Notamacropus eugenii: one gene and its partners. The protein of the gene in region 3 binds, or shares a complex with, the protein of the main gene of each other region. Links are inferred from orthologs where the notes say so. Each region holds a gene or a part of one and is shown on either strand. Other genes may lie near its edges.

What was found.
Region 1: ALYREF (region 3) and THOC7 share a complex: the UniProt entries of both Homo sapiens proteins name them as parts of the transcription/export (TREX) complex. The link is inferred for Notamacropus eugenii from reciprocal best matches to the Homo sapiens genes ALYREF and THOC7.
Region 2: ALYREF (region 3) and THOC5 share a complex: the UniProt entries of both Homo sapiens proteins name them as parts of the transcription/export (TREX) complex. The link is inferred for Notamacropus eugenii from reciprocal best matches to the Homo sapiens genes ALYREF and THOC5.
Region 4: ALYREF (region 3) and RBM8A share a complex: the UniProt entries of both Homo sapiens proteins name them as parts of the ALYREF/THOC4-EJC-RNA complex. The link is inferred for Notamacropus eugenii from reciprocal best matches to the Homo sapiens genes ALYREF and RBM8A.

What each region holds. Positions count from the first base shown.
Region 1 is NC_092874.1:460,485,463-460,493,322, forward strand, and holds the start of THOC7 (THO complex subunit 7), read left to right. Parts: upstream 1-4,860; 5' UTR 4,861-5,040; coding exon 5,041-5,059; intron 5,060-7,860. UniProt on the Homo sapiens protein: Component of the THO subcomplex of the TREX complex which is thought to couple mRNA transcription, processing and nuclear export, and which specifically associates with spliced mRNA and not with unspliced pre-mRNA.
Region 2 is NC_092875.1:16,143,568-16,151,020, reverse strand, and holds the start of THOC5 (THO complex subunit 5), read right to left. Parts: upstream 3,009-7,453; 5' UTR 2,805-3,008; intron 1-2,804. UniProt on the Homo sapiens protein: Component of the THO subcomplex of the TREX complex which is thought to couple mRNA transcription, processing and nuclear export, and which specifically associates with spliced mRNA and not with unspliced pre-mRNA.
Region 3 is NC_092873.1:325,989,715-325,997,130, reverse strand, and holds the start of ALYREF (THO complex subunit 4), read left to right. Parts: upstream 1-4,505; coding exon 4,506-4,745; intron 4,746-5,178; coding exon 5,179-5,310; intron 5,311-6,581; coding exon 6,582-6,729; intron 6,730-7,316; coding exon 7,317-7,380; intron 7,381-7,416. Other genes in the region: ANAPC11 (anaphase-promoting complex subunit 11), read right to left, coding at 3,153-3,208, 4,225-4,543. UniProt on the Homo sapiens protein: Functions as an mRNA export adapter; component of the transcription/export (TREX) complex which is thought to couple mRNA transcription, processing and nuclear export, and specifically associates with spliced mRNA and not with unspliced pre-mRNA.
Region 4 is NC_092873.1:303,231,563-303,238,607, reverse strand, and holds the start of RBM8A (RNA-binding protein 8A), read left to right. Parts: upstream 1-4,044; 5' UTR 4,045-5,787; coding exon 5,788-5,854; intron 5,855-6,016; coding exon 6,017-6,076; intron 6,077-6,161; coding exon 6,162-6,239; intron 6,240-6,340; coding exon 6,341-6,477; intron 6,478-6,787; coding exon 6,788-6,924; intron 6,925-7,042; coding exon 7,043-7,045.

The DNA of each region.
Region 1 (7,860 bases), on a different chromosome or scaffold from region 3:
TAATCTTGTGTCTCTCCAATTTCAGAGCACTCATGATGAAACATGCTCCCCATCTCCTAAGAGAGAGGACACAGAATGAAGAATGAGACATATTCTTTTGAATATGGTCAACTTGGAAATATGTTTTGATTGACTATGCATGTTTTCAATGAGTTTCGTTTTTCTTTTGTTCTCAATTTGGGGTTGGAGTAGAATGGCAATAAGGAAAATTTGTTCTGCCTAAAACAAACTCTAATTTAATAAATAAATCCTGTGCATCTATAAATGTCTGAGATAATTCATTCCTCATATGCAAAACTATTAAACATGCTTCCAAACAATTTCTCATGTAGTTTTCTTTTCAATTTTACATTTAAAAATCTATTCCAAAACAAGAGCCAACAAAACAATATTATTCTATTAAAAATATGATTAAATGACTTTAGAAAGAGAGAGAAAAGGATAAAACATGATCCATTTTCTTCCCTAGTATATCTCTATTCTATATACACAATGGTTAAGAAATGGGGAAGAGATGAAACTTAGCACCAAAGGAAAAGGAGCTATGAGGTTCAGCTTCAGCTGGATGAAATTACACACACACACACACACACACACACACACACACACACACACACATACACACACATACACACACACATATCCTCATTTAATCTCTAGACTGTGTGGAGCACAAGAGGTACCTTTGTGTATTTTATTGAACTAAACATATCATGCAGAAAGGGAAGGAAAGGCCAACGACAGGGATTTCTTCATGGCAATGGTTTCATGTTGGTAGCATGAAGGGGTGACCTCACTTTTCCCTCAAAGAAGATAATTAAAATAAGCAGGAATATCAAATCTAAAAAATTTCCAAAGATAACTGTGTTGATATATGTTTTAACTTTAAAAAAAAAAACGACAGAAGAAAACACAGTCACACCTGGCTGGATAAAACTAGAGAAATTTAGAAAATTATACATGACAAACATAGTATGATATAATCAGTTCTAAGCAGAATTCAAGATCTCCTAATAGCTATGAGGCCACAAGCTACTTAACCGTCAGGGGGTCACTGAATGGGTGTCAGAAGGAGATCTCGGGCTAATACAGCCAGAGCTGACAACGACAGGTGATCTCTGTACATTCTACCTGAATAATAGTACAGCTAAGGAACAAATCTAGAGAATCGCTCATATTCTTCCAGACCACAAACCATCCCGGGCCAGGGCTCCCAACGTGTAGAGGCCTGCGCGCCTCCAGGATTTGGGCACAACCCACCAGCCAAACTGCCCCTGGGTGAGGGCCTTCCCGATGAAAACAGGAACCATTTCAGCTTCTGGTTTGAGGCTCTTAGCTCAAGATGGAAATACCACTAGGGATAAGAAGATAATTTGTTGGAAAGAATTCTATTTGGTTCAATTAAAAAACATTTTCCTTATGGGTAACTACTCTGTGTATGTATACATAAATATAAATTAACAAATGTACTTTGTGTATATGTATACACATATTTAAATATATTATTAATTTTATATTTCTGCTGAGTAGATGTTATATGTATTTGCTGTCTTCTCCATTAGAATGGTATATCACTGCATGGAGAAATTATTTCATTTATTGTGTTTCTATCTCCAGTGCTTAACATGGTCCACAGCACATAGTAGACCAGTCAGACTTGTTGACTGTGCATTGTGGCAGGTACTGGGGTCACAAAAATAAAAGTCAATGAACATTTATTAAGAACTTAACTATGTGCCAAACTATCCTGTGCTAAACTCCAGCAGGAGACAGTCACAGAGAACAGAGAGATCACAGTCTAATAGACTTAAACAAGATATGGTTCCTAGGGGGCTGAGTTTTGAGGACTGAACAAGATAGTTCTTTCTGTAAGGGAGCTTAAAATCCAGAAGGAGAAACCTAGTGGAGTTTATGGCAGAGCCGCCCCTGAAGTTTTACGAGAGTCCAAGGTACTCTATTTATGCTCAAACAGATTCTGGAGCCTCTATGGTAACAAAGTGTCAATACATTCCATCAAGACACAGAAAAATGAAAAATAAAATCAGTGGAGGAAAAATTACTTTTTAAAGTAAATAAAAGAATATCATCCACTTGGTTTCTCTGCTCAGAATTCCAGCACAGGTGAGGAGGAAGTCAAAGCAGGTAGGTGTGAACCTGTTTCTCTTAAATATAAAGAAATCAAGAATCTAAATTGCTTTGTTACCTTGGTTAAGTAATGGTACTTATGGCCACAGTAAGTATGTGATGAGAAGGATTGTAAGCATATCACTGTTATCTCAGTTCTACATTTCCACCGGAAAACTGTTCTCTTACTCTAAATGAGGGAGAAGGCGAAGTAAATATTTAAAAATCGGGCTCTTCTTACTTTAATAATAACAATAAAATAGCTAGCACTTACATATTACTTTAAGGTTTACAAGTGCTTCGCAAATCTCATTTTATCCTTATAACAACCATGAGGTAAGTGCTATTATTAACTCCATTTTACAGATAAGGAAACTGAGACAAACAGAAGTTAAACAATTTGCCCAGGGTCACCGAGCCAGTAAATGCCTCTGCAGGAAGTCTTCCTGATTCCAGGTAAAGCCTCTATTCACGGTACCACCTACCCGATTTAAGCCAACGTAAAATACTGATGAATATAGGTTGCCGTTAGGAACTGAATGCACAAAGACAGGGACTAAATTCTGAAAAATTATTTTGTCTGTTTGCTTACTTAATTTCATGATGTTTTATGAAAAGGGTAATTAATGAAGAAAGGGAGTTCCTTTTGGACAGGAACTTTCATTTTGGGAAGCTGGCAAAGTGCCTTCGACCCAGCAGTGGCTTAAGAAAGGTTTACTGAATTCATCACTCACATTAATGACCATGTATCTGAGATAATCCAATCAGATTAAATTGTGTGGACCATAAGGCTTTAAGAGCGGAAGGTTAAAATAATGATACTGCATGCAGCCACCTTTACTCAAGTGCCATCAAGTGCTGAGTAGCGCTGAATATCGGACAAATGAAGGTTCTTCTCGTCAGTCCCCTTCCCTCCCCAGAACTAAACGACATAACAGTGTGTCCTCAAAGGCAACTTTGTATCTGATAAAACTTCCCCAGAAAATTTCACAGTTACAAAAGGGCTAGGGGAGTGGCATATCTTCCTACTTTTAATTAAAGTAAAAAACACCACCACCAGAAGAAAAGGCTTTTCTTTCCAAAATCATCCTTTCTAATGACATCTAAAAAAATGTTAACTTTACAACTGTCATCCTTACAATTATCATTCCAATTAAAACCTTAGTAAAATTTACTCCTTAAAAAGACATGAAACATCCGATTTATAACCAATGATTGTGAAGATCTAAAGTAATTCTAGTCTAAGTCGGGATGTTCTCCTCCTTCTGGGCTCAATAAACTGAACAAGGCTGGAGGACAAACAGATAGTTTGGCTCTGGACGAGAAAGCACGCTGGATTTAGAATCAGAGCTTTCTGGGTTCTAATTCTGACTCTCCCCCTTAAAATCAGTGTTCTTTGGGACAAATGCCCCATCCTCCGAAGGGCGTTAAAGGAGAGGACCAAGGAAGGGCCTTTCTAGCTCCATCTCCTCGTCCATACACAACTTGTTAAGGACCTCTCAACTTGAGGACCTCAAGGCTCTCTCGAGAACGTTAGCCACTGGAGGACGGGGAGGGATTTTTGTTTTTTCATCTTCACCTCTTAGGGCAGTACTTCCTAAGTGACTGACTGACACAGTCACTGATTGACTTCAACCTAATATGCAATATAAAAACAAATGTAAATCCCTTCCATCTACACTCAAGTAGTTTAAATGGGTCAGGATAATCTCGCAAACATAAAGAAAGGTATTAAATATCTGTATCGGTTTCCAGTTGGATGTTTCACAGAATTAAATCACGGCCCGTTCTACACGCATTGAGGCCAAGGGACCCAATGAGGTCTCCGGGCCTTGGGGCTGGGCCCGGGTCAGCTGGGGATCTCTTCGGGCCGGCAATGATACCCAAGAGCGATCGAGAAGCATTTGGGAGGCACCAACAGGCGCCAGGCCCCGGGGATACAAAGAAGGGGAAATGCTCTGGGTAGGATTCCACTCTGGGGAGGGTTGGCACACACCCTAGAACGGACCCAAATGGGGGAGACTGCGCGGGGGGGCGAGCAGCCCACCAAGTCGGGGGTCGGAAGGGGTGCCCACATTACCTGGCGAACGGGGGGGTCTCAGTGGGGCTTTCCGTGGCCTCGCAGCCGGCGGCCCCAAGGGCCGAAGCTCGGCTGGTTTGGGGCCCCGGCCGCGGGGGGCGGTCATGGGACAAGCCTAGCATCGGCCCCCTCCCATTTTACCTTTATACCGGACATGGGCGGGGGCGGGGGAGGGGTCGCACGGTAATGACAGGTTGGAGGCCGGGGCCCCCGCGCCTCAGGCATGCCTCCGGGCGCGCACGCACGCCTTCGCGCCCCGCGCCCCACAACGAGGGCCCGGGAGCCGGTTCCCGCGCGAACTTTGCAGGTAGCAGAAGCTGGTGGGCGGAGCGCCGCCGCCCCGCCCCCGCCCCGGCGCGCGCTGCCTCCCGCCCCCCGCACGCCCGCAGACCTCCCCCCGCGGTGACCTTCCCTTCCCCGCCCCTCCCCCCAGCCCCCAGTCCCCGGAAGGGGGCTCCGAGATCCGCGGCCCCGCACCCCTCCACCCCGCTCGGGGCCGCGCCGCGTGTGCGCTGGCCCCCTCGTCCCTCCCGCCCGGCCCGGCCTCGCGGCGGCTCTCACCTGGCGGGCGGAAGCAGCGCGTCCTGCGGCGCGGGGCGGGGCCGCGGGGCGGGGCCTTGGAGCCGGGCGTGCTGGGCCCTCCGCCCCTCGCCGCCCCGCCCCGGCCTCCTCCCCCTCCCCCCAGGGGGCGGGCCCGGGCACGCGCGGCTCGGCGGCGGCTCCGGCGGCAGGCCCCGCCCCTAGGCCTTCATGGCTGTTTGCCCGGCTGCATTGTGGGAGTTTGACCCGGGGCCGCTGGACGCGGTTGAGGATCCGCCGCCGCCGCCGAGGGCGCGATGGGGTCGGTGACGGACGGTAAGGGGGCTCCGCCAGGGGTGGGAGGAACGGGGCCGAACACCTCCTCCCCAGATCCTCCCAGACCCGTCCTTCCCGAGAGCCCCTGGGGATGGGGTGGGGGGCCCCCACGGGAAAGGGGGTCCCAGGCCGTGCGGGCTCGGACCCTGGCCCTTCCCGCCGTCCCCTCTGTGCGTGACGGCCGGACGAAGGGAGCGCGGCCGGGCCCGAGGGTCCGCGAGGCCGGGCAGCCGCCGGCCGGGCCTCACCGAGACCTGGAGCGCTTCGTGCGCTCCGCCGGTGGGGGAGACACGCGTGCGGACCCGGGGCTGCGCACGGGCCTCCCCCGGGCGGGGAAATCCACGCGAGAAGCGCCTTGTCTCGGCCGATCGGGCCCGTTTGTTGTGTGGGTTGTGTTCCCAGGGCCTGGTGGGGACTGGGGAGGGCGGCCTGGCGTGCGTGTGTGCGTGCGTGTGAGTACAGGTGTAAATACACACGCACAGACATCCGGGGATTGGGGTAAAGCACCCCTGGGGGAGGCCTGCAAGCTTACAGAACTTTAGGGACCGGCCGACCCTGACCCGCGCCCAGCTCCTGTCCTCGCTTTTCTAGGCCGCTGGGACTTGTGCAGTCCAGTCTCCTCCCCCCGACCCCACTGGGACTTTTTGGCCGAGGCCCTGGAGCACTTGGCCATTTCCTTCTCCAGCTCATTTTACAGAGGAGGAAACTGAGGCAGACAGGGCCACGTGACTTATCCAGGATCCTACTGTGCGAGGCACATTTGAACTCAGGTCTTCCTGACTCCGGGCCGAAGGGGCCATCGGCTACACCACCAAGTTATGGTAGCTGCATACCCAGCATCCTTTACATAACCGGAATCAGTGGTGGTGAACCAGTTATAAATCCTGCGGAAATCTGAGTTCTATCTTGCTTTGATGGTTAGTGACTAGACCAGAGCATTTCTTTTCCAAGGCCTAAGAATGTTGCTTTTGGTGTTTGAATCACCTCTATTTCATGTGTTAATTAAGCTTTGGCAAGATCTTTTCCACGAGGGGAGTGATGATTTTTGTTGACTATTCAGATCCTTAAATATCGATGCTTAGTTGTTAACCTGATCAATATTTCTGGAGTGATGGAGGATTGAATTTCAAAATTCCTCCCGCAGCATTGTCTTTGGGAAGGAGGGGCTAGAATTTTTAAGAGTACAGAATTATGAGCTTTCAGAATGAGAATTCCAGCCAGTTTAATGTAATACCATCTGTGTCACATCTCTCAAGTGAGATTGCAACCCAGTGTCAAAAGTTGCTGAAAGGTCTGATGGTTTGACAGGGACATATGCCTTATGTCTTGACTGAGAAAATTAATTAGCAATGAGAATAGTGCCCTATTTTTGTCAAGTCTGTACGGTATTATTCCCCAGCAGAAGAACTCCAGGCTTCAAGGTCTAGCTAAGAGATGTTTGGAGGTGGAGAGAAAAGAGGGGAATTAGAGTTGATGGAGCTTAATTTTCAATTTTCCTAAATTGTGTGGCTTTTTTCTTTCAGTGAAGTTTTTTCCCTTTTGTCTCCTTTTGAAGACTGGTCCTTACCTGTGCCCTCAGTGTCATGTTTCCCCCCCTCCATCTCCTCCAGGAGTTTACTCTCTCATCTCTTTTTTTTTTTTTTCTGTTTCTAACTACTGATTTCCCCCTACTGACTTTCACTCCAAACCCAGTATTCTTTTCCACTGGTTTTGTAAATTGGGATACTACTGACCAAGCTCTCTTTGTGGGCAGTATTGTGGCAGCTAGATGGTAGGGCAGTGGTTAGAATACCTGAGCACAAATGGGACTTTTGACACTTCCTAGCTGTGTGACCCTGGGCAACTCAGGTCATGTCTCTCTCTGCCTCAGTTTCCTCCTATAAAATTAGGATAGTAATAGCACCTCCCTCCCAGGGTTGCTGTGAGGATCAAATGAGATGATAATTGTGAAATGTATGGCATAGTGTCTGGCACACAGTAAGTGCTAAGTGAATGCTGGTTATTATTACTGTCTCTCCTACCTGTGTGACTCTTCCTCAGCTCCTCTTTTGGAATCTTCATTCATTTCCTGCCTGCTAATTTGATCGTTTCTCAAGGTCCTATCCTGTGCCTTCTCAGTCCTCTCTCAGTAATCATGTCTGTTCTGGTGGGCTCAGTTATTGTCTCTGTATAAATCACTCCTAAATCTGTGTATCCAGGCCAAATCTCTGCAGAGCTCTACTATAGCATATCATTAGTTGCCTGCTAGACATCACTACCTGATTTCAAATGTAGATCTCCTGATTGCAACCTTTCTTGTCTTCATGCCATTTACACATTTGCCACCCGATTAATTTTCCCAAAATCCCACTTTCATGTTCTTCCCTAGCTTTTCATTGGCTCCTTTGTGCCTAGTGACTGTAACTCTCATTTATAAAGCCCTTAAAATATTAAAGTCATTTCTCATAGTCACACTGGAATGTAGATATTATGAGTAGATCATCCCCATTTTATTGATGAGGTAACTAAGAAGTTAAAATGACTTGCCTCTTGTCTCAGCTCATAATGTCAATTGAATATGTCTTTTGCCTACAAGTCCAATACCCTTTTATCTACTGCTGTTTTCTATCTCTTGTTCTTGGAATTAGAAATATTTCTACCTGTGTACTGAAACTATTGTTAAATGTTTGGGGAATGATTTATCAGGCAGGCTCTCCAGGAATCCAGCACTATTTCAGCTAAGCTGGAGCATCATAACTGAGGTAAAGAAACCAGAGGAGAAGCCCTTTCGTTGGTCCTTATTCTTTGTTCCTCTTTTCCTT
Region 2 (7,453 bases), on a different chromosome or scaffold from region 3:
ACAATCATAGCACATCTCTCTCTCGGACTTCCAAGTAGTTCTGGTATGGAAAAGGAGGAAAAGGAAAACTGGTGAGCCTGGGAGACAAGAAACACACCCTCTCTGGGGAAGGGACTCTGAAGCCCTCGTGCACTACTGAGCCAGAGCAACACAATGGGGCAGCATGCCACATTTGGAGCTGGAGGACTAACATTAGCCTGGGCTCAGCCACTTCTGTGTGATGCAGTGAGTGACTGGAGTCCTGGAGTTGCAATCAGGGAGACCTGCACTAGAACCCTGTCCCAGACACTTACTACTGTGTGACAATGGGCAAGTTGCTCAGCCTCAGTTTCCTCATCTGTAAAATGGAGATTAATAATAGCACCTACCTTCCAGGATTGCTGCAAGGATCAAATAAGGTAATATACAGAAAATGGGTACAGAACTTAAAGTGTTCTGTGTTCAGTCTTATACCTCAGCCATTCTCTACTTTTCCCTCTCTCCCCAAATTTAATCAGCTGCAGGTCTACCTGATTTTAACTCCTCTCCACTCCCAAGTGAGTCAACGTAAGCGAAGTGCTACATAAATGCTTTTATCATCATTGAGTTCACACCCTGGTACTTCTCACCTGGGCTATTTCAATAGCTCTCTGTCTGGCCTCCAATCCAGTGCATCCTCATAGGACTGTCAAAATAAGCCTCCTAAAGCACAAGTCTCTGCTCAAGAATCTCAGAGCCCTTATGGCCTCCAGGACAAAATACAAATGCCTCAGCTTGGCATTCAAAGACTTTCACAACTTAGCAGCCGCCGCCTTCCAAAGCCATTCTTGGGAGCTCTGCGTGGGGAGCACTGGCCTAAAGGCTACTCCTCAAATTTGGCCTGGCCTCTTCACTTCCATGCCTTTGCCTAAGCTGTAGCTCCCCACTCCCCCCAAGTTTTCACTGTCTCATCTCCACTGTCTATAATACCTGCCTTCCCTCAAGGATCACCTCACATGCCATCTCCTAAGAGAAGCAGTCTCTGATATTCCTGTGAATTGTGCCCACTCTCTCCTCTTCCAATGTTCATACCTATGCTGGTCTACATGGTGAGTCTCTCCAAAAACACATGAGCATCTTCAAAGTAAAGCCTTCTGCTTTGTCTCGCTTAACAGTGAGCCTGCCCACTGAACAAAAGCTCCCTGGCCTGGCAAGTCTTGGGCTGTCTCTCATCCAGGGCTCAGGCAAGGAAGGGGCTTTGCTCTCAAGCATTTATTAAGTTCTGGTTGTGGTGCAGGAGAGTGAACACTGAATTTGGAGCCTGTGTGGCCCTGGATAAATCATTTAACCTCTCTAGTTCTCAAGTTTTCTCATGTGTAAAATGATAGGGTTACACTGAACAAGCCCCAAGGTCGACTCCTGCTCTACAGCTAATCTCATGAATCAAATGCTATTAGATACCCTGGAGGTGACCAAAAAAACCCCCACAAAACTCAGTCCCTAAGAGTCCTTATGCCAGGCTCAGAAAAAACAAAGACAAGCTGAGACGGCTCCTGCCCTTCAGGAGTCTACACAATAGAGTGGAGGAAAGCAAGAGAACATAGAACCAGTTTTAAAACTGGACATGACTTTATAGATCACTTAGATCCCCTTTTTATAGGGAGAAACTGAGGCCGAGGGAATGTCCCCACCTAAAGTCACCTGGAATGTGAGAAACAGCGTGCATGTGTGAAAGTAAGTGCAAAGCAGCTGCTGGGGAATGGGGGAGGGCTCACAGCTTGGGTCCATCGGCCCACTGTGTTTACTAGGCACCTGCTATGAGGAGGTGCCCTGTTCAGGGCTCTGAAGGGAGCACTAATGCAAGGAAACCAGCCCACTCGCCAGGAACTTTAGTTCAGAAAGGCCCCCTAAGGAGATAAGGGGCAGTCTGAGGGGAGCCCAGGCTCCATGCAGGAGGCAGAGGTGAGGAAGGAACACATCCCCGGGCTGGCCAGAGCCAGCAAGGCCTTAATGCGCTTTTCATTCATTTATTTAAAGCACAGGGAACACGAGGGGCAGTCAGGGAGGCAGGAGGTGGCCCACGGCTCACAGCAGGTGCACCAAATGTCTGGTAAAGGGCAAAGGCCACAATCCAACTTGGGGCACCAGGCTGGGCCGTTCACCTGGAGGAGTTTGGGGCTGGCGAAGGCCAGGAGTCTGTACTAGATCCGGGGCCCCAGGGGCCACCAGGACTACTTGAAGAGGGGACTGTGCCTGGGCGGGGGGAGGTCTGGGAGAGATGAGCCAGGACAGGGGGTCTGGGGAGGGGGGCACAGGAGGGAGAGGGGGCGCTGGGGGGGGGCTCCTGCAGGGGGGGGCCGAGTTGGAGGGAAGGGTTCTACAGGAAAGTTAGGGGTACTGGGGAGGGGCTCGGGTGGGGGAGGGGGCACTGGGGAAAGGACTCAGGAGGGAGAGGGGGCGCTGGGGGGGGGCTCCTGCAGGGGGGGGCCGAGTTGGAGGGAAGGGTTCTACAGGAAAGTTAGGGGTACTGGGGAGGGGCTCGGGTGGGGGAGGGGGCACTGGGGAAAGGACTCAGGAGGGAGAGGGGGCGCTGGGGGGGGGGGGGCTCCTGCAGGGGGGGGCCGAGTTGGAGGGAAGGGTTCTACAGGAAAGTTAGGGGTACTGGGGAGGGGCTCGGGTGGGGGAGGGGGCACTGGGGAAAGGACTCAGGAGGGAGAGGGGGCGCTGGGGGGGGGGCTCCTGCAGGGGGGGGCCGAGTTGGAGGGAAGGGTTCTACAGGAAAGTTAGGGGTCCTGGGGAGGGGCTCGGGTGGGGGCCCGCGGAGGAGGGGAGGGGGGCGTACGTACCTGAGGACGGCCCGGGACTCGGGCTGACGCCCGCACAGGCCGCTGGGGCTCCCGCGGGGCAGACGGAAGCAGGACCCGGACGCCCACCGGACGGGGGCGGAACACTGCGGGAAACAAAGCCCGCCGCCTCGCCCAGCGACAGCGCGGACCAAACGAGAGCCGGCGAGACTTCCGCTTCCGGCGGCCAGAGAGCCCGAGCCACGCCCACCAAATACCATAGAGAAACAGGCGGGAGGAGCGGCGCGCGCCGGGGCTCTCTGCTGCCCCCTAGTGGCCCCTCTCTGCTTAGTCTGGCTCCCGACAGTGGTTGGGAGCAGCGCGATCTAGCGGACACAGAGTCAAAGCCCACCTCGGCCCCCTGTGGTGCTGTGTGAGGAGCGAGTCACAACTTCAGTTAAGCAGAGCAGATCCGGTCAGCATGGGTGGAAATAAGAGGTCCAGGCAATGGTGATATATAACATTTATTCATCAACCGCAGATAGAGAAGGTACTTGTAGTTGGAGCTGCGCCTTGAAAGAAAATAGGGATTCTGAGAGGTGGAAGGTATTTTGTCTCACTTCCATCCCTGAGAATCCCTGATTTCCGGCAAGGCATTCTTCAAGCCATTTTTATTAGATAGCCTATGATTTCAATGGTGAAGGATCAAAGCCTTGTCTGCACCTTAAGAGTCTTAAAGGCTTCTCATTTCTAAGTCTTAAGAGATTGGATGGGATTCTGAGAAGTTAGTGAACCCCACTCATTTGACAGATAAGGAACCCAAGACCCTCAGGGATCAAGTGACCTGATTAGAGCTACAGAGATAGGAAGTGATATAACTGGGTTTTAAACTCAGGCACTTTGATGTCAAATCCAGCACTCTTCAATTTTACTTTTATTAGTAATAATAAGCATTTCCATAAACATATTAAAAACACAAAATAGGATTGGTATGTGAAATCATGAGTCTCCATTACATACACTTAAAGACATACACTTTCAAAATTGGTCTCCTCAACTGTATTTCCTTCTGTTCTTTTTCATATATTTTCAAAAAAATGTTCAGTGGTCATCTTTGTTGGCTCCTGCTCATTTCTTCTATCTTGGGACCACTGGAGATATGGTTGGCCAATGTTTCCTTGGAGTTCTTAGGTCTTTCCCTATCATTTTTCAGTGTGATGTTATCTGTGTATACTTTGTTTTGTTTAATTCACAACACATTGGCTCTTACTTCCTAAAAACATTTTTTTCATCATCTCTTAGAAAATGATCATATTCTATTACCAGCATTTGTTTTTTGGTGACCACCATTTGTTCAGACATTCTCCTAATTGTTGAACATTCTCTTAGATTTCAGTTTTTTTCTTCTCCGCTTTGGGATCCAGAAGTTTCTTTTGCTGGTGACTATATCCTCACAGGCATTATTTCCCCTCTTAACCTCTCTTAATCCTACCTTATTTCTTTGTTGTTTTATTCAACCCTCTGTTGTTTTGTTCAACCCTCTTTTGCCTGATTCTCATAAGAGATTCGTCTGATATATTTTCCCTATCCCTCCCTCCATATTTGAAAATATTTGTATTCTCATCCATCCCAGTTATGAGAAGCAAGTTCTATTCCCTTTTTCCTCCATTCTAGACAAGTATATTCTTTTCATTCTCCCTTATTTTTCCCCTCTAAAAATCAAAGCAGAACTAATCCAAAGCCAAGTTCCTGTTTTTCTTATTCAACTCCTTCAATGATCTTTGAAGACATTATAATTCTGAAGGGGGACTTGTTTGTTCATATTAAATAAGGTCCCATTAATTGCTCCAATAAATTTACACTTTGCAGAGTAAGTTATCCTTGGTTGCAAACCAGTATCTCTTCTTGCCTTTTGTATACTGAATTCCATGCTCTCCTCTGATTTTTGGTAGATGCTGCCAGTTTTTGTATGATCCTGATTTTGGTTCTTTGGTATTTAAACTGCTTCTTTTGGAATGTTTGAAGTATATTCTCTGATGTAGGAGCTCTCACTTTTGGCTATGATATCAGTAAGACTTTTCCTTTTGGGGTTTCTTTCAGGAGATAATCAGTGGATTTTCTTGTCCTCTGGTTCTAATGAATCTGGGTAGTTTTCATTTGTGATTTCTTGAAATATAATGATTGTCTTGATCATTATTCAGTCTGAAGTAAACTTCAGGTTTTTGTAGGAGTAAGTAGGTATGTGAATGCTAGATGTTTCTTTACCTTTCTCCAGGTTTCCAACTTGGATCCCCTACCTCCCTAACTCTCCTTCCCTCTCACTCTGGAGCTTATTTTCAACAGTAATTGTACTCATTGGATCAAATTTTGTGTTCCCTATTGCTGATTTAAAAGTCAAATGAGTTGGCCCTTTTAAAGAGAATTTAGCTATAAAGAAATGGAAATGACTTCCACAGAATCTGGTCATACTCAGTAAAACAAAACAAAAACCCTCCCAAATATAGCTGCAATCTCGTCATTTCAAGGTGACTCATGTCTACATGGTTAATCAGAGCTAGCATTTACACAGCATTTTCAGGTGTGTATACCATTTTACATGCTATCTCATTGGATTCTCACAACATTGTGAGGAAGGTGCTATCATTATCCTCATTTTACAGATGAGGAAACTGAGGCTACTGGGGATAGTGGTGAAGTGACTTGCCCAAAGTCACACAGTTAATGTCAGGGGCAGGATTAGAATTCAGATCTTCCTAACTCCAAGTACTGCCCTCTATCCACTTTCCACCTAATTGATTCTCTATTTAAGTTAAAATACCCCTCTACAACTACGAAAAGCTAAATGAAAGGGGAGGTCTTTGCAGTGAAGACAATTTAGGTTTGACACCAGGATAGATTTCCTGAAAATGAGAGTTATCCTAAAGTGGAATGAACTGCCTAGAGGGCTGATCAGTTTCTCATCCTTGGGAGGTCAGACAACCATGTCAGGTATGTTATAATGTAGATTCCTTTTTTAGTCTTGGCTGGACCAAATGGCTGCTGAGGTCCTTGCCCAACAAATCATCATTCAGCCTTTACTTGAAGACACCCTGGCCCCAAGACTTAATTGAAAGGAGGAAGTTTTGCCTGACACAATGCCAAATCTTCCTCTTTGAAGCTCTCCCTCCTCTCCACTGCTCCTGGCTCTGCCCTCTAAGCCCAAGAAGAAAGAGGTGATCCACCCAAGTGGATCTTTCCTTCAGAAAGAGTTCCCAAACCTTTCCTGAGCCTTCCCTTCCCCAGACTCTAGAGCAGGAGAAATAGGCTAACCTCCATGATTTTCCCAATGTGTCCTCTGCCCAGGAGTCTCACTGAAAAACTCCAACCCTGTCTGTCTCCTTTGGTGCCAACCTCATTTTCCGAGCTGATTCTTAGCTCCTCCCCTTCACCAGCTCCAATCTCTCCTATCTCTGGAATCTCGGGGCAGCGGGGGGAGATTCCTGGCAGGTGAAGAAGAGCAAACACCATTTCTATTAAATATTTAATTAGGTCAGTCAGTGACTTTCAGTACAGGCGCCCCAGAGGGAGAGGGGTGCAAGCGTCATGAGATACAGGGATCTGAGGAGGCCCAACCTCCACTTCTCCCGCATATTGCAATGATCCCCACATGGCAACAGATAGTCACAGAAGGAAGGACTGTGGACCCAAGAGGAAATAGGAGGAAGGAGAGAGGAAGATGATAGACAAAGTCCCCCATTCTAGAAATGGGGGGGGGGGGGACAGGGAGAGCACAGCCCAGAGCCTTAAAAAAAACCTACTGGGAGAGCTCCCCTTCTGCCTGGCAGGTGGCTGCAGTGATACTTCAAAGCCTAACGCGGAGACATAACCATGGAAATAGGCATAGCACAAAGGTAAGCCTATCCTTTCATCAGGCCCCGAGCCTCAGGCAGTGAGTTGTTTTTACAGCCCTCAATCTTCCTATAAGTCCCCATCCCAACAGCCTTGACCTCGGTTAGCCCTCTCACTGGTTCAGGATCATATGATAAGAGCCTGGGTTAAGAAGCAAAGAAAGGGACTTGGCTCAGGTGCATCAGGGAAGCCAGAAGCTGAAGGCCCCAGCTCTTGCCCCTAAGCTCTAACCACAGGACAACACCACCTTGTATGTAAAAATGATGGTATCTGTGATGTTCACATGGAAGGAGACCAGGCCTGGGTAGTCAATGAAGGGGCCTTGGGAAAAGGAAATCAGAAGCTGAGATCTGCTCAGACTTCCCTGGGGGATAAGGAATTGGCCAAACAAAGAGAATTAGAAAAATGATATCTGGCTTGAAGGGTTTGCTCCTCACAACAATCCTGTGAGGTAGGTGGTGTTGTTATCCTCATTTTACAGATGAGGAAACTGAAGCCCAGAGACATAATGGGAAATGCCCAGCTAGTTCCATGGCTAGTAAGTGTCTTAAGCATGATTTAAACACAGGTCTTCCTGATTCCAAGCCCCAAATTCTATCCACTGAGTCACCTAGCTGCCCTAAACCAAGGGAAGAACAGAAAGGTGGTTGGGAATTAAAAGTAGCCAGCTCTTGGTCTAATTCAGCTAGCCTCAGCCTGACCTAACTCCTTGAGGAGCCCAACAGACCCCAAGGAAGGAATGAGGCATGAAATCTAAAAGGATGTAGGGGAGCAGGGGAAGTGTGATATGAGGTGATGTGGGGGGGGCAAAGGGAAGGGGCAGT
Region 3 (7,416 bases):
TAAGGTCCTTTCCATCTCAATATCTATGTCCTAGGGGAGATAAGTGGTGCAGTGGATAGAGCACCAGTGCAGGAGTCAGGAGGACCTGAGTTCAAATCTCACCTCAGACACTTGACACCCACTAGCTGTGTGACCTTGGGCAAGTCACTTAACACCAACTGTCTCATCCTGGGTCATCTCCAGTCATCCTGATGAATATCTGGTCACTGGATTCAGATGGCTCTGGAGGAGAAGTGAGGCTGGTGACCTGCACAGCCCTCCCTCACTCAAAACAAAGTCAAGTGCAAGTCATATCATTATTTCTCTGATGGCATGGTCTTTGTCAATGAAGGACGAATACACACACACATCTATGTCCTGCAATCTATCAGTTCCATAAAGAAACAAAGGAGAGTTACGTAGATTCTGTGAGAGGTTTACTAGGTCAAGGAAGATTTAAGAAGAAGAGAATGAGTAGAGGAAAATTAGAGAAAGGAATAGAGATTGGAAAAAAAGATAGGGTACATAAGGACAGTTCCCTAGGGGTTATTCTATTAATTGGAAATGAGTCAGACTACTCCCTATCTTAGTAACACAATCACACAATCATAGAACCATAAATTATTCAAACAAGCACAGATAAGAAGCCACCTATCAGTCTTCAAGTCTCTTTTTAAAAAGCACTCCCCTGATCCTACACATATACCCAGCGTCCTTTCCCAATGGGTGACCATGAGCTAATTCATTCGCCTCTCTGAGGCCCTGTTTCTGACCAATATTCTACAATCTATGATGTGAGGCATCACAGTATAAAGGATGGAGAGTTGGCCTAAGGAGTTAGTAGGTTCTAGATAAAGGCCCATGTCTGATACCTATTGAATGTTTGATGTCAGGCAAGACACTAAGCCTCTAGGTTCCCCAAGGAGAGTTAATGAATTGCAAATCAGGTAAGAGGTTTTTGTATTGTTACAAGTTTTCTTCTTCGTAGTTTCCTATACTAATGAAACCACACATCTGGTCCAAAAGTTTCAATAACAGCAATGCTCAAGCTGCACATGCATTCAGTTTTTGTAAGAGTGTGAACTTTGCAAACTGTAAAGTAGCATACAAATGTAAACCAAAGAGGCATGGACCAATAGAAAGCACAGGCTCTGTAGTCAAGAGGACCAAGACAAAAATCACCCCTTGCCCCCCATGCTGACTGCTGGTATGCCCTCAGTCAAATCATTTAATTTTCCTGGGCTTCAGTTTCCTCACCTGTAAAAACAAAGGACAGAACCGAAGACTCCTCGTTTCTAGATCTATAGTCCTATGAATCCATATCCATCCTAGATTATGGCTTAAATGTCTGATTCAAAGAATTTTTTTGACTACAGAACCAATTGATTATTGTGTTTTTATAATTAGAGTTAATTTCTTGCTCATTATGCAAAATAGACATACACAAAAACATCCAAATCAGCCTATCTTTTTGGTCAAAAGCCTGATACTTTCTTTGCAAAAGCATCATAGCCCTTGGTTGACTGCTGAGACTTTCCTTCACCTATGCAATAAGAAATGAATTCATTCAATGAATTCATCTTGATTGGGACCCATTAGTAAATACTAACGCAGAAAAAATCCAAATGAAAGGAAGAAAGTAAAAGCAAGAGCAACATGATGAGAGAGATGTACTCACAGTCTGGGCAGCAGCCATTAAAAGCCATTCGACAAATACCACAATTTTCATCATTGGCAACCCAAAGCCAGGAGGCTACACCATTCCAACACTTAATCTTCACCTTCATGGTGAGTGTGTATCCTGGGAAGGAGAAAGGAGATTACTTTGCTGAAGAGTCTGGGGAGGACACCAATTTGGGTAGAGGTTACGGGTGACAATCCATTCCATGGTGAAAGACCTGGGTAAAGGTAGTAACTAAGTACATTAATTATGTCTTTGTTCCTCATTGCTTGAGATTTGTAATTAACATAAATCTAGGGGAACAAGGTATCTTTAAAGGGCAGGAGGCACAGCAACACAAAGGGAATGGTCTTTTTGCCAAGAAATAGTTTTGAGGCTTACTAGGAATACAGTCATCCCTAGACATTTATGGGTTTCACATTCCAGGTTTTGGTCATTCGAAGGTTGGCCATCAATAATTAAATGGGAATTTTTGGAGATTTTCAGTGTATTGTAGAAAACTTCAGATGACTTGTGTATATAAAAAAACCAAAAAAATTAGTAAATCACAAATGTATAAAAACTATATAGTAGTATTACTCTATTTTCTCATTTGCTACCATAAGTATATACACATAAATTTATTTTAAAGTTACATTTCATTAAAAGTTTCCCTGAGCTATGCACTCTTTAGGACCACCTCTTCTTTTTCTCTCTACAATCCAGATAATCATGTGATTTTCTCCAGCAATGGTTTTTTAATCTTGCAACTTGCAAAAGGAAATCTACGAAGCAGTTGCTGCAGCTACAAAGTGTACAAGATACTGCTCTCTCTCTCATGTAGAAATTGCAACTTTTTAAAAACATATGCAGTGTGTTGTTTTGTGTGTTAAATAAATATAATCTGAACTATTAAAAATAAAGGTTTGGGAGTAGGGCCTAGAGTTGTTCCTGGTTTTTCACATTCTCAGGGGCCCAGAGGCCCTATCCCTCAAGAATGTCATGGGATGACTATACCTTTACCTACTTGAAGTTCAAAAAAACAAAGCCAAAGACTTGTCCTAGAGAGAAGATTCACCTTCCTTGCTCTTTCTTGCCAAGAAAAATGCTTGATACTTCCAATAAGAAGCTTTGAAAGAACCAAACAGAACAAGTAGGAACAGAGAGCTTCCTATCTATTTGAAAGGGGTTTGACATGGTGATCCACTAAGCTTTTCCTAAAGGCTTTTTTAAAAAGCACAAAAGTTATCAACTGTTTTTAACTTTCACTTTTAAAAGTATGCTATACAGAAGTCCTGGGAAGTTTTTACAGATACACGTGTGTATGTGTACACACAGACACATAGACATATGCATACGTCTATGTGTATAGACCGGATACATGTCTATATACGTACTATAGACGTACATAGTAAAGTAGATCATTATAAGGTGTCAAAACAAAAAAGCTTGGGACAAAAGATGGAAGGAGAATAGATTGCTCACCTTGTAAAAGTCTGTGTTCTGTCTATACTCACTCCCTTCTTTTCCTCCTTCCAGTGGGATAAGGCTTGAGGAAAATTTTGTGCACTAAAAGAATCAATGACAAAATAATAAAGCATATTTTAACAAATAAAAATAAAGCAATCGTTCAAAGTTTAATTCTCCCTGAACACTGCTGTTTCCAAAATCCTTTCCCCGTGCATTCGAGATTCTACCACTTCCTGGCACACGGGAATGACAGCCTGAAGACCCAAGGTTCCGTTCTAGCTGTGCAACACATGCGACCCTTCGCTTTTTCATTTCTCTGAGCTTCAGTGTCCTTATCCTTAGAATGGGGCAGTGACATCTGGTCTCCTGGCTTCAATGGCCTGCTAGAGAAGGATTTCCTGTAAACCTATGAAAGCACCAACTCCTAGAGAAAACTAAGATTTGAGCCGTCTTGTCTTGGGATGAGAACACGACCGTCACCCCGGTAGGATAAAAGCCCCTTAGGGGCAAGGGTGGTTCCGTTTTGGTTTCTGGATTCCCAGCACCCAACAGGCCCTTAAGAAATGCTTCACCGATTCGAACGGAATCAAGGAGAAAACATGAAAACTAAAGAAATCTCCACTCGCAGCAGGGGAGCAGGGGAGCCCAAATCAGTTTCCTTCTCTTCCTGGGGCGGCCCCGCTTACTCCCCCTCCCCCAGGCTCACGTGACTCCGCCCCCTCCCCAGAATTCCCACCGGGTTCAGGCCTCACACCTAAGGCAAGCCTGGGCTTCAGCCAGCGCAGGACCCAGGTCCCTCCTGAGTTCCCACTTGAGTCAGGGGCTTCCCCCCCACCCCGAGTTCTCACCTCCAGTCACAGTTCTCCCTTGAGTCTAAGCCCCTTCTTTATGCTGCCCCCACCTCCGTCGGGGGCCCCTACTGGACTCCAGGCCCTTCGCTTTACGCGCCCGCTCCCCCGAATTCTCTCGCGCCCCACGGTAGCCCCCGGCCCCGCCCCGCCCCCGCCCCCGGGCTCGCCCCGGCCCCGCCCCCGTCCCCGCTCCCGGGCTCTCTTCTCCTCCCGGGGGCGGCAGGCCCCCTCCCGAGTTATAGCGCCCCCTGCTAGAGTTCACACCTGGGTTCGCGCCTGGCTCCCGGAGCTCGCGCCCTTCCGTTGGCGCCCTCGCGACAAGTACAAAAAGGGCCGCAGGGGTCCGGGCAGCGGCTGTCAGCGTGCGGCCGGAGCAGAGGACGAGCGAGGCTCTGCCGGGAGCTCGGTCCGCCCGCCGAGCGCCGACAACTCGGAGGCAAGCCCAGGCGTCCCGGAAGCGCCCTGAACCTTCGGCCGCGAAGGAAGTGACGTACCGACGTGCTGACGCGCGGGGTTCGTGCCGAGGCCCCGATTCCGCGCCCGCCATGGCCGACAAGATGGACATGTCCCTGGACGACATCATTAAACTCAACCGGAGTCAGCGGGGCGGACGCGGCGGGGGCCGGGGCCGAGGCCGGGCCGGGGCCCAGGGCGGCCGCGGCGGCGGGGGCGCTCAGGCGGCCGCCCGCGTGAGCCGAGGCGGGGGGCCCATCCGGAACAGGCCGGCCATGGCCCGCGGAGGCGCCGGGGGCGGCGGCAGGAACCGACCCGCGCCCTACAGCCGAGTGAGTGAGCCAGCCTGGGGAGAGCGGGAGGCTGGGCCGGGCCTGGGCCGAGCGGGCCGGAGCGGGCCGGCCGAGGAGCTGAGGGGGCTGAGCCCTGGGAGGCCGAGGCGCAGAAGGGGAAAGGCCGGGTCCTTGTGTGGGGGCGTGCGGGGGTGGGGGGGGCTGACCCAGGACCGAGGGATCGCCGACCCTCACCCCCCACCCCCCGGAGGCCTTTTGTTTCTGATGGGCCACCGAGGCCTGGAGCCTCATGGCTACCTTCAGGGCGGGAACTGGGGCCTGCTTGGGGCGGCGGGAACGTGGGGGCGGGAAGGCGACCGCCTGCCCCCCTCGCCCGGGCCAGCGGGAGCGAGAAGGGGGCCCAGGGAAAGGAGAACCCGCCAGGCCCCGGCCGGGTGGGGGGACGACTCGCCGACCTTTGTGTTTGTTTCAGCCGAAGCAGCTTCCAGATAAGTGGCAGCACGACCTGTTCGACAGCGGCTTTGGAGGCGGGGCCGGCGTCGAGACCGGTGGGAAGTTGCTGGTCTCCAATCTGGATTTCGGGGTCTCAGATGCGGATATTCAGGTGAGGAGTGCGGCGGCTCCCGCGGAAGCCCCCTTGTCGGGAGCCAAGTGCACGGCGCGGGGTTCCCCCGACCCCCCACGGGCCTTGCAGGTGACTGGTCCTCATCCCTCCTTCTGGAGCCCAGGCTGTCAGTGGTAAAGCTGAGGGTGCAGTGAGGGCTGCGGGGAACTGGCGTAGGCCGGGATTTTTGCTTCCCAGGCTTCTTGAGGCCGTTCAGAGTGACTGAGCCTGGACAGATTTTTGTGTCGTTCGTTGTTGTGCTGAAAACGCTAGGTTTGAGAGAGGAGGTGTAGCTTCTCTCAGGCTAAAAGAGCAAAGAAGCAGCAGCCTTGTAACCTTAATTGGCTCTTCATCAAAATATGTCCGATGCTCATTCTTCTGGTATAGAAATGGGCATCCACAAAGCACCTGTTTCAGGATTAAGTCAAAAAACAGTGCTCTTTTTTAAAAAATCTAACCTCTTTCCTGTTAAGAAACTCCTTTCCAGGAGTTAAAACTTTGGAGGTTGGAAATGGTTGGGACTGGATGCCAGGCTTTCCTGGGTCCTACTTCCTCGAGCCCAGCCATACGGCTTTGCTGTGGGAGGACAGAGCAAGGCAGACAAGCACTCATGGTGTGTCAACACTTTTTTTAAGGTGGTTTCTGGCATCCACTGGAAACCGCTTTTGGTGAACTCCACTTCCCGCTGTGTGCCTGCGGCCGGAGTATCCCCACACTCTGGGTTCCCTCTCCAACTCCCAGCCTGCCGTGAGGTCAGGGCAGTTTCCATGGCAGCGCTTGACGTCAGACTTTGCGGCAGGCTTGAGTAGGAGGAGAGGGAAACGCAGGTGAGCCAGAATCTGCCTTCTGGGGGTGGGTCTGGGATCAGGTCTATTGAATCAATGGGCCCTTAAATCTGTTACAGTGGCCTGCAAAGCTTCCCTTGCTCTGTGACCTGGAGGTTTTCTTCATTTCTTAGAACACTCTTTTGTTAAGAGTGGTTTTTCTTCCTTGAGAAAAGACAGCCGCTGAATATTATTCCCCTCTCCGCTGGGCAAAGTACTCTTTGGCCCATAGCATCATACAGAGGGCATGCCCCAAAGTTGGCATGACCCGGGACAGGCCCAGCTGCTTTTGGAAGTTGCTGTTCCGCTCTCCCCACCCTCTCCTCCCTAGATGTGTGTTCCCTTCCAGGAACATAACTCCTAATGTAAATATTACTGGGGTCCTCTTCCTTGGACGTTATAGGAGAGAGCCTTGTTAGTCATTTTTCCTTTCTTTCCTGTTTTTAGGAACTATTTGCTGAATTCGGAACTCTAAAAAAGGCAGCTGTACATTATGATCGGTCTGGCCGGAGCTTAGGGACAGCAGATGTTCACTTTGAGCGAAAAGCAGACGCTCTGAAGGCCATGAAACAGTATAATGGTGTCCCTTTGGATGGTAAGTTGAGCCTTCCATCATTGAAGGGCTGGGTGCTACGTTTTGTGGAGTATGGGGCTGTCATCTGCCCGTGTAGGAATATGATTTGCCCACTCTGGCCGAGCACACTTTGCATTTGCCCGCTTTGTCTCTCTCTTCCGTTCTGCCACCTTTCGTGCTGCCCCATACATCTGGACCAACCTCTTGTGACCCCCTCCTTCAGATCCTTCCTGAAGATTCACTTCTGTGAGGCCTTCCCAGAACCACCATAGTACACCTCAAAGAGCGGGGCTATAATGATAAAGAAAAAGGTACTGGATCTTTTTTCCACTAGGTCAGCCAGGTGTATTTCCCTCTTCCACCCATTTCCACCAAAGAAAAAGTTATTGAATATTTACCCAGTTTTAACTTTGTCAAAGAGGAGGTTGGTGGTTTCTCTCTTGCCATTTGTCTTTCTCAAATATTTTCCAGTCTTTTCCCATGTTTGTATTTAGAATGAGACAACAAGGTACCCATCCAGTGTTATTTGCATGGAGCCTAGAACATTGCTAGCAATGTATAATTGTTCCATAGAACAGTGATTTTTTTCCCCTCTTCCTCTCCTGCAGGTCGCCCTATGAATATTCAGCTTGTTACATCACAGATTGACACACAACGAAGACCTGCACAGAGGTTAGTTCTTGGCTTTCTGGAATCAAGTCAGGGCTA
Region 4 (7,045 bases), about 23 Mb from region 3:
TCAATGGTACATGGCACCTACACAAAAACTGACCACATATTTGAACATAAAAACCTTACAAATGCAGAAAGGCAGAAATATCAAATGCATCCTTTCAGATCATAATGCAATAAAAATTCAATAAAAGACCATGGAGAGACAGATTGTAAATTAATTGGAAACTAATTTAACCTAAAGAATGAGTGGGTCAAAAAACAAATCCTAGAAATAATCAGTTTCATTAAAGAGAGATGAAAACCATAAGACAACATACTAAAATTTGTGGGATGCAGCCAAAGCAGTACCTAGGGGAAAACTTATTTCTCTATGCTTACATCAATAAAATAGAGAACAAATCAACAAGTTGGGTATGCAATTAAACTAGAAAAGGAACAAGCTAAAAATCCCCAGTTAAACGTCAAATTGGAAATCCTAAAAGTCCAAAATGAGATTGATAAAACTGAAAGAAAACCACTGAAGTAATAACTAGGAGCTGGTTTTATTTTTTTTAAAAAAAAGCCAAATTATCAGTGTCAAAAATGAGAAAGCAAAGCAGCTAGGTAGGATTGACGAGGTTGAGGGCTGGTGGGGACCCCAAACACGACGGTCCAGGTCGAGCTCAAATGAATTCGACTCAAGTCTTTTTAAAGCCAAAGAAAACAAAGTTTATTAAAGATTTGACAAATTGGGTTGCCTCTTAAGGAACCTAAGTATTTGTAACACTTGTATTCACAAGAGGGCCAGATAGAATCCCAGCTAGACAGAGTCAGAGCTAGATTGCATCTGAGCGCCTTCATGGAGGCAAGATGGAACTTAAATACAGAAAAGAGTATAGGAGGGATCTGGGGGGTGGTCTGGTATTCCAGGGTGATGGGAGGATGGATTTAGGAAGGGTCTTGAGGAAAAGTCCAAGGAGGGTCAAAGGCTGGAAACAGCTGGAGGCTATCAGGAAATATCAGACTGTGGAGGGTTTGGGTGGGAAGCAGGTGGGCAATCCAGAGATCTTGATAGGGGCAGTATGGGAATGGATACAAATCTTGATGGGAGTGGTAGGCAGCCTGGGAAATGGAGTTTTGATGGGATCAAGGGTGGGGGGGTGCAACAGAGACCTGAGTAGAATGATAATGAAAAGCCCATGGGCTTCCTGAGACTGCTGGAACAAATGGGAAGATTAGATTTGGGTAAGAAAGGCCAGATTAAGTGGGAAGATTGAAGGGGAGCTCAAGGAGGCTCCCAGAGTCTGAACCCCATTAGGATTACAACCATGAAAATGAAATTAAAGCAATTATTAGGAACTATTTTGCCCAATTTTATGCCAGTCTGGCTACCTAAGTGAAATGGGTATTTACAAAAAACATAAATTGCCCAGGTTAACAGAAGATGAAATAGAATACATAACCCTATCTTAGAAAAAGAAATTGAACAAACCATCAATGGATTTCTTAAGAAAAAATCCATAGGGCCAGAAAGATTCACAAGTGAATTTTACCAAATATTTAAAGAAAAATTTCAATATTATATAAACTATTTGGAAAAACAGGTAAAGAAGGAGTTCTACAAAATTCTTTTTATGACGCAAATATGGTACTGATACCAAAACCAGGAGAGCAGAAACAAAACTATAAATCAATTTTCCTAATGAATATTGATATAAAAATTTTAAATAAAATACTAACAAGGCAATTACAGCAATATATCACAAGAATCATATACTGTGACCGGGGGAATTTATGCCAAAAATGGCAGGCTGATTCAATAATAGGAAAACTATCAGCATAACTGACCATATCAATAACAAAACCAACAGAAATCATACGGTTATTTCAATAGATGCAGAAAAAGCTATTGATAAAATACAACATCCTATTAAAAGCACTATAGAGCATAGGAATAAATGGAACATTCCTAAAAACGATAAGTAGTATCTAAAACCACCAGCAAGCTTTATCTGTAATAGGAACAAATTAAGCTTTCCCAATAAGATTAGGGGTGAAGCAAGGAGGTAATTTATTACCATTATTATTCAATATTGCACTAGAAATGTTAGCTATAGCAATAAAAGAAGAAAAAGAAATGGAAGCATTGGAATAGGCAATGAGGAAACAAAACTATCACTCTTTGCAGCTGATATAATGGTATATGCTTCGAGAATCCTAGAGAATCAACTAAAAAACTAGTTGAAATAATTAACAACTTTAGCAAAATTTCAGGATATAAAAGGGTGGTACCTGTGACTAGGATCTTTTGCTGTTTTTATTTTAGTATAATCAAGTGCCTCTGATTGAATCTGGCCTTTATCAGTCAAGAGTCTTTACAAGGAGTAAAGTACAGAAACTAGAATTTCATTAACTAGAAACAGTGTATGTATTTCTATTGTTAATTATTTTAATGTGATTAAAAATCTTTCCCTTTTTCTGGTACACTTAGTCCTTCATAGCAATGCAACAACCTAAGAAATTGCCAATGGACTTTTGAGGCAAAATACCTTCCACATCCAGAGAAAGAACTGTGGAAATGGATCACAGAATGAAGCAGACCATTTTTTTGTGTGTTATGTTTTGTTCTGTTTTGTTTTATGGTTTCTCCCATTCATTTTAATTCTATTCAACGTGACTATGGTGAAATTGTATTTAATAGGAATGTATATGTAAAACCTATATAAGATAGCAAGCCATCTCTGAGAGGGTGTGGGGAAGGAGAGGGGAAGTAGGAGGAGAGAGGGGGAAAACATCTAAGATATATAGAAGTGATTATAGAACACTGAAAACAAAATAATTATTAAAAAAATCTTTCCCACCCATTGATGGGCCTGCCCATTGTAGGAAGCTTGATTAGGAGAGTTGTTTTGTAGGATGGCCCTAAGTACCTTTTGTTTTTTCTATTGAGGCACTGGGTTAAAGGGTTGTGATGCCCTCTGGCTCTAAAAAAGATATAAATACTCTGAGTTGAGGTTTTACTTTGGGGTTTAGTTTTTGTAATAAAGTTTGAGTGCCAGAGGAGGACTCTGGGAAACCACCAAGAGTCCCCTGGCTTTGAGAACCCAGGTGTCAAGTGCTTCCCTCTCTGGAAACTATGGTCAGACAGTTGGGGTCCAGTTGTCTATTGAATTCAGGCAGAGGAAGCTATGTCTGTTGATCTATTGATTTTTCTGTATTTTCTTTGAAATTCAGGGTGCTGACTCCCTGAACTAACTGAATGATAGATGTACTTGGTTAAAAGGAACGATACATGTGCTTGATTAAAGTGATTGTTACCCCTTGAAAGTTGCTTTCCTTTTATGAATGCAGATCTAAGAACCTGTGATAGAAGACCCCCCTGTATGTTGGGGTGCTTACTGATACAACACCCTAAAAACATTAGGAAACTAAAGAATAGTTTACCTGTCAGATCTATAGAGAAGGGAAGAATTTATGCATAAACAAAAAGAAAGCACTATAAAATGGAAATGGAAAATGGAAAATTTGATTATATTAAAAAGTTTACCCAAACCAAGGAAAGCAGGAAGCTGGGAAACAATTTTTACAGCAAGTGTCTCTGATAAAGATCTCATTTCTCAAAATAGAGAACTGAACCAAAGTTTTAAGAATGCAAGTTGCAACCCAATTGATAGTCAAAGGATATGAATAGCAGTTTTATGACCAAGAAATCAAAGCTATCTGTAGTCATGTGAAAAAAGTACCCTAAATCATTATTGATTAGAGAACTGCAAATTAAAACAACTGAGGTACCACTCACACTTAGCAGATTGGTTAATATGAAAGAAAAGGAAAATGATACATGTTGGAGGGGATGTAGAAAACCTGGGACACTAATATACTGTTGGTGGAGTTGTGAACTGATCCAAGCATTCTGGAGAGCAATTTGCAACTATGCCCAAAAGGTTATAAAACTACATACCTGTTGTCTCAGCAATACCATGACTAGGTCTCTATCCCACAGAAATTTTAAAAAGCAGGGTGGAGGAGAAGGAGCTATTTGTATAAAAATATTTATAGCAGCTCTTTTTTGTGGTGGCAAAGAATTGGAAACTGAGGGGATTCCCATCAATTTAGGAATGGCTAAATAAATTGTATTTGTAATGAAATACTGTTGTGATATAAGAAATGAAGAGCAGGCTGATTTCAGAAAAACCTAGAAAGATTGACATGAAATGAAAAGCGCAGTGAACAGAAACAGAACATTGTACACACTAACAACATTGGGGTTTAGGGGTACTCGGGGTCCCAAAATACTGACAAGCCGGGTCCTGACTGAATGCATTTGACAAGCATTCTTTCAGCCAAAGTTTATGAAAGATTTGCCATATTGGGTCGACTCTCAGGAAGCCCAACCATTTGTGTTGCTTGTATTGCCAAGTGGGTCAGGTAGAATCTAAGGTAGACAGAATCAGAACTGGACTGAAACTGAGCATGTAAGTGGAGAGGAGATTAAATTTATATACAGAAAGATGATGGGAGGGATCTGGGGGTGGTCTAGCAGTCTGGGAGGAGGCGTGAAAAGAGAATCTTGATGGGACCAGGGTAACTAATGATGTAATCAAGGGTGGGAAACGACTGGAGGCTTGGGACAACATAGGGCTGGGGTGGGAGGTAATCAAGGATGAGAACCAGCCAGAGGCAAGCTGGAAGCCTCGGACCTGGCAGGGCCTGGTTAGGTTATGGGTCACAGATTTGAGCGTGAAAAGCCAGAATAAGTGGGAAGATTCCAGGAAGTTCCCAGAGTCTGTACCCCAACAGCAGTATCCCAGAAAAGAGGCGGTATCAGATGCTAAAGCAGGGTCAACTTGGAGAACAGAAATCCGTAAGGATCTCACTAGGGATCACGGAAGGAGCCATTTCAGTCAGCTTCCTTTCCTTCCCTGCAAAATGAGGGTGCTGGGCACCTCCAAACAGAGGCAGCCTGCAGATTTGCCTTTCTCCATGTTGGAGGGAGGACACACACAACTACGACGGGGCCGGCCTGTGAAGGGGTTTTTGGACTGACCCAGCAAGGTGCTGACAAAGATGCTCAGGAGGAGTTAGGGAGCTGAGATCATGAGTTCAGAGAGGAAGGGGATGGAGTCCCGGGCTTGGGGGAGACTTCAGCCCTAGACTCCCTAAAAAGTAACTGGTTTAAGAACGAGTGCCTTACAGGAGGCGATTATCATCTCGTCTAGACCAGGGGAGGCTAAGGAAGTTCTCCAGCAACCAAGTGACTCCGACCCGGCTTCTGGCTATTTTTTTGGAGGGGGGAGGGGAGAAGCTGCCCTGAAGTTTCCAACCACGCAAACCGAGGCAGGCTGGCGCGGGCCGTCCAGCCGAGCACCGAAAGTGGGCTGCGAAATGAAGATGGCGCCCTCTCCCGCCCTTGCTTCGGAGGAGAAAAGAAAGGAAAGCGAGAGAGCAAAGAATCGCTGGGAAGACTCAAGAAGAACCACGGAAGGGAGCAAAGCTCGACGGTTAGACGCCCGAGGCCCCGCCTGGGTGGGGGCGGGGACCAGGGGAGAGTCGGGAATGAGCGTCCAAGCGAAGCGCAGGCGCAGCCCGGGCCTCTCCCCGCCCCCAATCACGTGACCTGCTCTTCTGGCCTCCTTCCCAGGAAGCCCTCTCTTCAAGTTTCCGCCTCTCCTACTCTTCAGACCCGGCGGCCACTGGACCTGCGCGAGCGGGCAGCCTCCCTGCCAAAGAAAAGCGAGAGCCTCGGAGTCGAGGGGTCTGATTGGCTAACCAGGCAGTCAACAACACCGCGTGGGGAGGTTCTTAAGCCCGCCATCGTCTCCCACCGTGCCTTGGTGCAGAACTGCTCCGAGGAACCGGAGAACCGTGCAAGATGGCAGACGTGCTGGATCTTCATGAGGCCGGAGGCGAAGACTTCGCCATGGACGAGGATGGGGATGGTGCGGAGCGGGTGGGCGGAGAGTTAGAGGGCCCGGGCCTCGGAATGGATAGACGGCGGGAGGAGGGTCTTCCGCCCCAGGCAGAGCCGCAGGGGTCGGGCCGGGCCGCGGGCACCACTCCCCTGGCGGGGCCCCCCTGACCCACCTCTCCTCTCTCTTCAGAGAGCATTCACAAACTGAAGGAGAAGGCCAAGAAACGCAAGGGTCGCGGCTTCGGCTCAGGTGAGGCTGGGACAGAGGAGGGTGAGGGGGGCCGCGGGGTGGGCCGCCCTTATTTACTGACCCCTGGTGGGCGTGGACCTTACAGAGGAAGGGTCCCGGGCCCGAATGCGGGAGGACTACGACAGCGTGGAGCAGGATGGTGACGAACCCGGACCGCAACGCTGTGAGTGCCGGGAGTCCGGGAGGGGACGCAGTGGGAGGAGCCCCGGCATGTGGAATCCTTCCCCCTGACCATCGCGCCCCGCCTGTGCTCTGACTCCCCAGCTGTTGAGGGGTGGATCCTTTTCGTGACTGGGGTCCACGAAGAAGCCACCGAGGAGGACATACATGATAAATTTTCCGAGTATGGAGAAATAAAAAATATCCACCTGAACCTGGACCGGCGCACAGGATACCTTAAAGTAAGTGGGAAGTTTGGGCCCTCAGGATCCAGGTGGGCAGTCAGAGCTCGAGGGTTTACTTTGTGGGCAGCGATGAGCAAATTTGGATGAAAGTAATACTGAAAGTGTAGTTAGACACAGAGAAACAGTCATTGTAACAGACAACAGGAACGTAGTATAAGTGTTATGTTCATACTGCACATTCATTAACAGAAATTTACAGGGCTTGATGTTTGAGTTATTTAATCAAAGTTAAGGTTTGATAAGTAAGAACAAGAGAGGTTTATTACCATGCCTTGTATGGATTGAGACTTTTTTTCTTTTCCCCTAGGGTTATGCTTTGGTGGAATACGAGACATACAAGGAGGCTCAAGCTGCCATGGAGGGACTCAATGGCCAAGACATGATGGGGCAGCCCATCAGTGTAGATTGGTGTTTTGTGCGGGGGCCACCCAAAGGCAAAAGGAGGTAGGAGGAAAGAGCGAGTGATTGTGAATTGGGTGTATACAAATGAGTAAACTAGAACAATATTTGGTTTATGGTCTAGTCACCCTGACAGACTATCTTTTTTCCTTCCCTTTTATAGAGG